Arabidopsis thaliana: one gene and its partners. The protein of the gene in region 3 interacts with the protein of the main gene of each other region in a pairwise test. Each region holds a gene or a part of one and is shown on either strand. Other genes may lie near its edges. The genes, in order: RPK2, PIN6 and GPT.

Region 1 (3,757 bases), on a different chromosome or scaffold from region 3:
GAGAAGCTCCCCAGTAAGCCTATTCGAGCTCAAATCAAGAAGACGAAGGTTCTTGCATTTACTAAGACCGACAGGAATTTCGCCTTTAAAGAAGTTCTGACCCAAATTAACCATCTCCAAGTTTTGACATGAACCCCAATCTCCTGGAAATCTACCTTCTAACGTAGCTCTGGGCACCCAAAGTATCTTTAGTTTCGGAAGCCTAGTGATTTCCTCCGGGATTCCTCCTTGATAGAAATTGAAATCCTCGGTCATCGAGGTTAAATCAGCGCCTGGAGGAAGATCAGCTTCCCCTCTTACACTATTAATGTCTTCATACACATTGTACAGATTTGATAGAACGAGAACAGACAACGAAGAGCAATTTCCAAGTTCAACAGGTAATGGACCACTAAGAGTGTTCCTAGAAACATCCAAAACCTCAAGCTTCTGAAGACTCCCAAATTCTAAAGGGATAGTCTCCTCCAACGTATTCATATACAACAACAACGACCTTAAACCAGCACATTTCCCCAAACTCTCTGGAATCCTCCCAGTCAAGAAATTACCAGACAAATCTAAATGCTCAAGCTTTCCACAGCTATCCCCAATATCTTTAGGCAAAGAGCCTTGAAGCCAGTTTAACGGCAAATGCAACACTCTGAATCTCCCAACAAAACCAGGAACAGTTCCATTCAACTTATTACCACCCAAATTCAAAATCTCCAACTTTGTCAGATTCTGCAGCGAATTAGGGATTTCACCTGAAACTCTGTTAAACCCCAAATTCATAACCCGCAAATTCCGTAACCCAGTAAACTGATCCGGCAATGACCCCGTCATCAAATTCCCTTCCAGATCAAGAACTTCAAGCTTCTCCATTCCCCAGATTCCTACAGGAATCTCTCCACTAAACGAATTAAAAGGCAGAGACAAAACCCTAAGTCCTGTGAGACTCATGATTACAGAAGGCAAATTCCCCGCCAAAGCTCCATGATTTCCGGTACAATCCCTCCGAACACCAAACCCATACAACGGAAACTTACCAATATCACCACAAGTGAAACGATTTCGACTAATTTCAGAACTTCCAGAGCCACTAATGTTAAGAGCCATGACTCGAGAGCTCGAATCGCAAGATACACCAAACCAGGAGCAGTAATCTTCACTCTCTTCGACCCAGCTAGCTAGAATCGAACCAGGGTCCGATACCGTTTTCTTAAACCGAAGCAACACGGATTTGTCCGAATCAGCTAAAACAGTGATTTTTCCGGCGAGACAGGAGGCGAAACAGAGTAAGCAGAGCGAGAAGACAACGTCTGAAGGCATCTGTCTGCGGAAAAAACGCCATTTGATCACTGAAGAAGGCAAAGAAGTCATCTTCGTAACTTATCCCCAAAAATGTTTTTACAACAAAACCCTAAACCCACCTCGCAAGGTCTGCTAATATAGCAATTGACGAGCAAAAGATCCTTCCTTTTACCGTGCGAAACAATCCCAAGCTCGACCCTTTAACCCTAATTTAGGGAGATGATGAGAAGCTTTGTAGTGAGAGAAACTGATGAAGCAGAGAGAGAAAGAGATGAGAGAATTCAACACTGTCACTGAGGAAGACGCGTTTTTTTCTTCTCTCTCTCTTTTTTTTTTTTTTTGATAAAAGATCTTAAAAATGTTTTTAATTTAATTTATGCAGAAAAAAATAAAAAATCGTTCTGTGAATGAGAGAGTGGGTCCACTTTCCTTATTTCCTATTGGCTAACAAACTCTTTAGTGTAATTTTAACTTGGAAGAAGCAATTTTTGATTATTTATCGATCATGTAGTGAAGTTAACATTAAAAGTTTTTAACATCGATCATTGTAGTCTCACCACATCAAATCGCAATAGGTACATGATTGATAACAGTAGGTAGATGCAAGATTATCTTATCACTAAATTTGAGGACAGATTATTTTAAATTTTTTGTTTATTCGAAGTGATGAAATAAAATATGTTGAGTCACAATAAATGTAACAATATTTCAACTCTCCTAGACGTATCAATCTCTCATCGACCAATGTTATGCTAAGATCTTGAAGCTAACATTTATTACAGATAGATATATGTATATGGACATGCATTATATTAGGAAAATTTCATAATCTCACGCTAAAAGAAAAATCGCCTGCCACTATACATAAATGCATGTGACAAAGATGTGTTTCTTTATAACAAAAATATTGAGAAATTGTAAAGTGAAAAAGGGACAGAATCGCCTCTTTTCAAGGATATAACTAAAGGAAGCTTCAAGATAAAGCAAATTAAAATGTTTTTTCTTAAATATAAATTTATAATTTTGTCATGTACACAACACATTAGCCACATTTATGGGGATAAAAAGACTGAGTTTATAACCTTTTCAATTAGAAGAAAAAAAGGTTTGTTTTTCTTTTAGTGAAATATATCTGTCTTTTAGCTACTACTTATAATAATGATACGTATTGAAATAAAGTAATAATGAAATGTGGTCCTTGTATGTATGCATCACCATGACATAAGAGTTATATCATCCATCAACCGGTTTACAACATCCGGTAACCGAAATTAATCGAACCAAAATATGGTGTTAATCCTGAAAACCAGAACTCGGTTTGGATCATCACTCTTGGTTTACAACTATTTTCATCCGTACAATTTACACATAAGAAGAGGAATCGCTTCAAACGCAAACGCTAAAAGTCTCCTCTACTTGAATGAACCGCATTTTGAAGGACAATGGAAGCAAGAGAACCAGCAGGTTCTTGAAGCTTTTAGCGATTGCGTTCGAGACTCGAATTTTTTTGATGCCTTCCTTTGTGGTTGTGGTTCCGGCTGAGACTCAGTTAGCATATTAGATTCTGAATAAGGTTGTAGTTGTTGTTGTGGCTGTAGCATTCGCGATTGAGGCAGCTGATACTCGGGTCTTCGCTTGTGGGAAACGTTTCCTTTGATTTGCATAGACGGCGTTTTGGTAACTGCATCTTCTTTTTGCAATCTGTTACATAAATTCCAAAGAAAGTAAAATTAGGGTTTTAAAGTTTCTTCTTGCTCAAGAAATCATCAAAAATGGATCGATAAATTGAGATTTTGAAGAGAACGACTTACAGTGGGAATGCGAAAGAACCAATGCTGTTATTGCTAGTGTCCGAACGACAAGAAATGCTCGGAGAATGTGAAACTATACTGTTCGAGTCTTCAGGTTTATTCTCCTTCACAGTTTCTATTACTTCTTTCTCTACTAAAGCCTCCGCTTCGATCATATCTGTTTGTTCTTCTTCATGTTCGTCGTCGCTCTCGACTTCACTCATCTTCTCTTCTTCTTCATTATCCTCAATATCTGAGTTTGAGTTCTCCACCTGGTATGGTTCCTTCTCTGCAATCGTCTCTTTCTCATATTCATTTGGTTTCTTAACCGGAGGTGGAAGAGGAACCGAGTTGATTTCGGTTATCACGTGAACCGTTTCTTCAAATCTCGGTATCTCAGCCAATCTCAACGCTGTTGAAATGCTAAAATTCCCATCGTGGATGCTAAACAAAGATTCATTAGAAGCTAGACTCCATTCCGTCGAATTACCCGGTTTACTAGAGAAAACTGAGGATGGAATTCTGGTTGGATCGTAACCGGGTAAATCAATAAGATGGTTCTGGTGATTTGAGGACCAAGAGGAACTGGTATATGAGCTAACAGATGAATTATAAGCCTGATGTGACTCTCTCAGTTTCTGTGCCTCAGAAGCAGACAATGATGGCTTGGGAAGAGG
Region 2 (3,757 bases), on a different chromosome or scaffold from region 3:
AATTAGTTATAACTCTTTTTGTTAATAAAGGTTGTGGATTTAGTAATGGAAGAAAAAAATAGAAAACCATGCGTCGGTTTCGCTGATGATTACACACGTGAGCTAGAGGAAAATGATAGAATCTCCCAAATAAATTCTTTAGAATGGACATTAATTTGATGAGTCCAAAAACATCATGAGAAACAAAAAAGTCAACATCATGTTGACCATTTTGGTGATTTTATTGATGATAGTAAGTGTGTGGGTGGTATGAGGGGTCCGCTTTGTTTACATGCTTCATCATGTTGTCCTATAGAATCTTAAGCTCAAAAACATGAAGTATCAAAATTCAAAAGTTTCCACACAAAAAAATAAAATAAGTGGGATTTAGTGACTATTACTTATAAATTTTATAAAATTAGATTGAATTTCTAATTAGTTAATTCCTAGGGATTTGGAAAGTAAAAGAGACAATGCTAAGTTTTTTTATTTCTGAAAAGCTGCATTTTATGTAGTCTATCAATGTTTTTCTATTCATTAAATCTTTTAAAAGAACCAATGATAAAGAAAAACACGAAAAGAGAAGAAAATTGACTAAACGCCGTCGTGTCAGTGCTAACGAAAAACGAAAACGACACATCTTTCAAAGAAAACGTACCATTGATATCTTTGGCTGCATGTCTTTGCCCAGACTCCCACATCATCTTCGGCGAAGATTGCCGGTATATTCTCCCGGCGGCAGGAGATTTCATCCAAACCGGCGTACCGTTTCCGTTAACGTCAAGCTCGTTAAAGTTCGAGGCACGTGGTGTTGGCTGCAACGAGTAAGCATCGGAGGAAGCATAACCCGAGAGCCTTCTAGGACTTGCACCTAATCCGGGTCGAGTAAATCCGAACCCGCCTAAATCTCCGTTACAAAACATGATCTCGTTACTACCGTTATAAAACTGAAGGGTACCGCTTCCTCCTCCGCCGTGGAAGAAACGGTTATTAGGAGTGTTGACGGAGAAAATCTCGGCGTTAGAAAGATTAGAGGCTCTAGGGGTTAAGCACAAGGAGGAGGACATAACAGAATCAGGTACGGATGATACGGACCGTCGGATCCTGAGCCTGATCCGACCGTTAACATCGGTTTCAGTTTCTGTACGGAGCGGATCCATGCCGTCTAAGGAAATGACGTCATCGTCGACTTGGATCTTGGCGATTGATCCGGCTGCTTGACCCGGAAACTCTGCTCGGATAAGCAACCTCGCTGCTCGGAGTTCAAAGAGGAATAGTAGCAGAGTATACCTATACATGTATATACACTTAGCTTATATTATCATACGTTATAATTAAATAATTCAACTAATAAGAAGCTTGGGTTAGTAAAAACATTTGATTTGGTTGAATTATATCCTAGAGTAACGAAATTCATTTAAGTTTTGGTTACAAAATCCATGAAAAAATGTGTGGTAAAAATATGTGAAATCACAAAATAATTCCATTATTATGAGGTTTTCTAATCAATCACAGGGTAAATGAATAAAGAACGGATAGTAATTTGATAACGTACCAAATGATGCATTGAAGAACAACGAGTTGGACCATGAGGGTTTGAGTGTAATCTCCATACATGGCCTGAAGCAAAGGTATGCCCATAACGAGAGTGTTAGGGAGAGTAGCGATTGAGAATAGAGTGATGAGCCAATCGAGACCACCGGCTTTGAAGAAAACGGCCCATAGAGAGAGCAAAACGAAGACGAAGATTTTGGACAAAGTGTCGGCGAGGATGAACATTGTGTCCATTTTGTAAGGGTTGTTTTGTGAGATGAAGTGGAAAGAGAGGACTGGGACGGCGAAAACGGAGACAAAACGGTTGATTCCGGAACATTGCGCCGGCGTGAAGATCTTGCACCACTTTACCGATCCATAAGCCACGAACATGGCGAAGTAGAGTGGTGCCATGGCACACATCACCGTGTAGAATTCGTTTCCCGTTATCATCTTTTTCTTTGCCTCTTCTTCTTCTTGGTATGTACTATGTAGGTTAAGTTATGTGCCAAATGTTTGTGTGTTGGGTTATATAGAGACTTGTTGACGAGATTACCCCTTAGTTAGCTTCGTTATGAAATTGCATTAGGGAGGGATTAGTGATTATTATATAGATTGGTAAAATACTGCTGCTATACATATATAGTTGGAAATCTATATATAAAGCACTTTCTTTTTCTGGACCTCATCATTATTTTAATCTCTAAAATTCTCATTAAATAGACTCATCACAATTTTAAAATTAATTAATAAGTTGATTTGTTACTCTTTTTTTTTTTTAATTCAACTTCATAATTAAATTATTGAAAATCTAATCCAAACCGGGAAAAAGATTTTAATAGAATATTTAGAATAACTTCATGCAATAGATTTGCTTTGTAACCCGTATAATCATTCTCAATATGTACACGCATAAGTCTCTTATTTCAGAAATCTATATAATAAACAAAATTTCGTAATTCAAGAAAAAAGTACACTTTGTTTACCCAAAATTGAAAATTCTGTGTTTTGCTTAAGTGAGCTTTGCACCCTTATTATTGACCTAACTCTTTTGTTTTCTTTTCTCTTATTTTTACTTTTACAGTATTTTCACTTTTAGCAAGTGTATATCTACTTTTGCAGTATTTTACACTTTTTGCATACAGTTGCAGCAAACTCGGATAAAAAATATCTGTTTATCCAAAACTATCACACTTGGTGTCTTGTCGAAATAGGCTTTCACCCAAATTATCCCCCTAACTCTTTTGTTTTCTTTTATTGATTATTAAACTTCTTATTTCTGGTGTGTTTTATGACGAAAAGCTATATGACTATTCAATTCAAAATCTACTAGAAATACATGCACGAAAAATGAAGATAAAGTATATACTTCAAATTTGAAGCTTTCTAGTTAAAGCTACGGAAATTGGTCAGTCATTAATGACATGACAATTTCCATTTTGTTTTTGTCTCATGCAACTCTTTTGATGTATCTTCCCACCATTATATACCTCGTCTCGCTATGCTCAAGAACAATATCATGAAATTCGTCTTTTAACATATAAAAGAACCAGTTATCAATTATTCAAAAAACAAATTAAAACAATCAATAATGAAGTAGAGTCAGGTTTACTAATTTTCTTAAAATATGGAAAGCTAACATATCTGAAACTAGAAAATGTTTGGAACTTCTGACCATATAAAAGGAATGTAATGAGCTTCTTGTACTAACAATACATATGTCACAATTAAGCAAAGGGTCCACAGAGACATGATTACCTTGTTCTTAATTTATTCACATAGATATACAGAAATTGTACATATATACATAAAGAAAGTGAAAGGAGATCCTCATAGAATCTAAGATCAATGATATCGGCGAAATGGGTGGAGACTTACAGTGTTAGCCTTTTACTCTCAAGCTTAAAAGCCTTTAGCCTTTAGCCTTTTGGCAATTGCAAGAACTAAGTCATACGTAACCTTTTTCTTATAAAATAAATAATTTACTTTGTCAACGAAAGGCTACAAAAAAGTTTGGGATTATTGATTCCGTCCTATATATCTAACCTAAGATAAATATTAAGTAACCCTACTTTCTAACCAAAATGTGCAGACAAGAGTTATGTAGGATAATATATATAATCACTTATAGTTATGATTATTTTCCCCGATGGGTAATGGCATCAAAGCCTCATGTAACCTATATTGTCTGTATATATTAGTACACACATGAATCTGACTAAAACAATTCAGGATAAGCAAGTTT
Region 3 (3,757 bases):
AAAAATTTGACCAATAACATATATATATATTTTTTTTGTTAATTTTCCTTTTGGTTAAGAAAAATAAAATGTAATATTTTTTAGATATAGAAATATGAATTAGTATATGTTAATAATGATTTCTTTTTTTAGTTTTCTATTTCTTTAAGAAAAAAAAAGTTAATTATTTTCTTACACATGGCAACATCTGATCGATAGACTTGACACGTGGCATAATCTTATGAGTTAGTAACTTTGAAAACCATACTTTATATAATAAGATTTTTTTTTGTTAATTTTTCTTTTGGTTAAGAAAAATAAAATGTAATATTTTTTAGATATAGAAATATGAATTAGTATATGTTAATAATGATTTATTTTTTAGTTTTCTATTTCTTTAAGAAGAAAAAAGTTAATTAATTTATTTTTTAGTATTTCTATTTCTTTAAGAAGAAAATGGTTAATTATTTTCTTACACATGGCAACATCTGATCGATAGACTTGACACGTGGCATAATCTTATGAGTTAATAACTTTGAAAACCATATTTTATATAATAAGATGTTGATTTATTCTTACTTTTTTTGCTATATCTTTCCTTATATTTCATACTTAATATTTTTTTTTTGTTTCTAAGATACATACATTAACTCTCATATTTATTGTCTTAACTAAATTTTACTTTTATTTGTACACGTGGCTTCCCCCCACAATATTTTTGACCCAAATCCAAAAAAAAAAAAACACTATCAATAATATTTCCTCTTACCATTTATGTCTTACACACAAGTGTCAAAATATAGTAGAAGACATAGAAAATGTTTAGATTATGATTAAATATCACAAAACTTTTGTGACATAAATCATGATCCATATGCATCCAAGTTCTAATAATAGGTCGATTCGATCTTGTAAAAAAAAAAAGTAATTAATAGTAAAAGATTTTGTATTGAATTTTGAGATATTTTTCTCTCACTATAAAAAGATGAATTGTGTAGCTAGAGATCATAACAAACTCTGAGGAGATTCAAGCTAAGGTACATTTACAAAAACTTATTTTAAATTACAATGGGTTGTTGCATTTTCGAAACTGATCCTACAGACCAATAAGTACTATTCAGTTAATTTGAAAACACTTACAAAAAAAACTAAGATATAATTTAGCAACTTTAACATTTTTTATTATGTTTGTAGGGACATTAATGGGAAACTGGTGTAGTTGTGTAACAAAAGATGAAAATAGTGATAATTCTAGTAGCTCTCAAACTTCTACGGATAAAGAAAGTAGTGTGCAAGTTTCTTCTGTGAGCACTACGTCTTCTTCAGAGATTTCATCTGAATGTTCTTCTTCAAAATGATCATCTCAAAGCTCCCAATGATGGAAGCGTAACTAGTGAGCAAATGTCGCATGGATCATCTTCTTCATCTTATCAATAAAAAAATCTTCAAAATAAATAATTTTCTATGTCAATTTTTATATTAAAAGAAACTTTGTTAAAAATTATGACTATTAATTAATAACTATATTATTACATAATCTTTTAAATATAAGTTTTAGTTTTAATTTTTAATAGTTGCTTTATGTCATGCTGATGTGTTGCTACAACAAAATTCTTAGCAAAATTTATGCATTTTTTTCTTAAAAAAAGAGAGTTCTATAAGTATAATCCAAGATATATTCTTGTACTTAATACGAATAATTAAAGTTATGATTAATCCATAAAGTTCTATTTCGATGACACGGTGTCGTATTTGAAGCGACGTGGCAAATCCTTATTGGTCTATATGACGCAGAACGGGAATTGCTCTGAAGAATCCTTTCTCAGGCGAACGGAGTTTGGAGTCAAAATCCAGAGCGCGGGGAAACGAAACGAGCCAACAAATCCGCCATGGCAGCTCGTAAGAGAGCTTCATCGATCTCAATTCCCAACAAACCGGACCCGTCGGAACCCAACTCAGCGCCATCGGAGCAGAAGATGACCCGAAAGACGGTTTCTGCTTCCGGTGAGGAATTTCGTCTCGCGCCGCCGAAATTAGGAGTGATCTTCGTGATCTCTACTCTTCTCTGTTCGCTCTATCTATACCTTCTCTGTTTTCACTACAAGGTTGATAATGAGCTCAAGCGATCGATTCTAATTAACGCGGGGCTTAGCTTGGTTGGGTTTTTCGTCACTCTCAAAATGATTCCTGTTACTGCCAGATACGTTCTGAGACGTAACATGTTTGGTTTTGATATCAACAAAAGAGGCACGCCTCAAGGAGATATTAAAGTGTGAGTTTTTATCAATCTCTGATTTTCCAAAGATTAAGATTAGTTTGATTAAAATTTCTTCATCCTCTTTGTTTTCAGGCCAGAGTCATTGGGTATTGTTGTTGGTATTGTCTTTTTGATCGTGGCGATAATATTTCAGTATTTTAACTTCACTGAAGATTCTAATGTAAGTGTGCATTAACGTCTTGTTTTATTAATCTCTGTGGTTATTCTCATTATCAATGTTTGTGAGTCTGGCTGATGATTCTGTGCAGTGGCTTGTGGAGTATAATGCAGCACTAGCATCTATTTGCTTCATGATTTTGCTTGGATTTGTAGATGATGTCCTTGATGTGCCTTGGAGAGTGTAAGTCCTAATTCCTACATATTTTTTTGATGAAATTCACGCTTATCGTTTTTGATTCACATGTTTACTGTTGTCAATTTAAACAACAGAAAGCTTGTCCTGCCATCTTTTGCTACCCTTCCACTTTTGATGGCTTATGCTGGTCATACAACTATTGTTATACCAAAACCTCTTGTTGCTTATATTGGCTTGGAAGTGCTTAATCTAGGTAATGGTTCTTGTACATGATACCACCTATTTGTACACATTGACTTGTATTTTTCTTTTGAGGAGGTAAATGATTATGATTAGCTCAATAGATGTTTTAACGTGGCAGGAAGGATATATAAGTTATATATGGGGCTACTTGCTGTCTTTTGTACAAACTCTATTAACATCCACGCTGGTCTGAATGGCCTTGAAATCGGTCAAACAGTTGTTATTGCCGCTGCTGTAAGTCTTATGGTCATACATAATGTCTCTGAATTTTTCTCATTTTGTTTCTTTTGGGTTGAGATATGATGCATCCCAGTTACCTGTAGATCCTGATACACAACGTTATGCAAATCGGAGCATCTGTTGATCCCGAGTATCACCAAGCTCATGCCTTCTCGATATTTCTTACTCAACCGCTGATGGCCACATCCTTGGCAATGCTTGCTTACAATTGGTAAAATCCCTAGCAGGCTTTCTCTTTAAAACTTTTTTTTTTTGAGTGGAAGTAATGATATTTCTGACCAGTTCTCGCAATCTTCTGCTGTTAGGTATCCTTCTTCAGTTTTTGTTGGAGACACTTACACAGTCTTCGCCGGAATGACTATGGCAGTTGTTGGTATTCTGGGTCACTTCAGGTATACTTCCAAACCCACTTATCTTCTCTGAGGCACAGGCACTTCACTAATACATGGAAACTACCAACTCTTAGATTGATCATTTGCATCATATATCCAGCTACTGTATGACCATGCAACTGATTCCCATGCCATCTTTCTGTATTGAAATTTTGCTTCTGCAGTGAAACCCTCCTCATCTTCTTTCTTCCTCAAGTTCTGAACTTTCTATTATCGCTTCCTCAGGTTCATATCACCTTTTCACTCTTCTATGGCATACGTATAATCTTGTCAACTCATGTTTCAAAAATTTAACATACTATATATGATAACTCTTCAGCTTGCTGGGAT

The links.
Region 1: the proteins of GPT (region 3) and RPK2 interact in a protein complementation assay, tested with the Arabidopsis thaliana proteins (one large-scale study listed by BioGRID).
Region 2: the proteins of GPT (region 3) and PIN6 interact in a protein complementation assay, tested with the Arabidopsis thaliana proteins (one large-scale study listed by BioGRID).

What each region holds. Positions count from the first base shown.
Region 1 is NC_003074.8:378,328-382,084, reverse strand, and holds the start of RPK2 (receptor-like protein kinase 2), read right to left. Parts: upstream 1,736-3,757; 5' UTR 1,360-1,735; coding exon 1-1,359. Other genes in the region: AT3G02125 (pinin-like protein), read right to left, coding at 2,703-2,991, 3,102-3,757.
Region 2 is NC_003070.9:28,969,063-28,972,819, reverse strand, and holds the start of PIN6 (Auxin efflux carrier family protein), read right to left. Parts: upstream 2,107-3,757; 5' UTR 1,966-2,106; coding exon 1,535-1,965; intron 1,270-1,534; coding exon 638-1,269; intron 1-637. UniProt on the Arabidopsis thaliana protein: Component of the intracellular auxin-transport pathway. Regulates auxin transport and auxin homeostasis. Directly involved in the regulation of nectar production. Involved in unfolded protein response (UPR) activation.
Region 3 is NC_003071.7:17,299,894-17,303,650, forward strand, and holds the start of GPT (UDP-glcnac-adolichol phosphate glcnac-1-p-transferase), read left to right. Parts: upstream 1-1,678; 5' UTR 1,679-1,868; coding exon 1,869-2,251; intron 2,252-2,329; coding exon 2,330-2,417; intron 2,418-2,505; coding exon 2,506-2,597; intron 2,598-2,686; coding exon 2,687-2,805; intron 2,806-2,913; coding exon 2,914-3,029; intron 3,030-3,118; coding exon 3,119-3,246; intron 3,247-3,340; coding exon 3,341-3,427; intron 3,428-3,591; coding exon 3,592-3,652; intron 3,653-3,746; coding exon 3,747-3,757.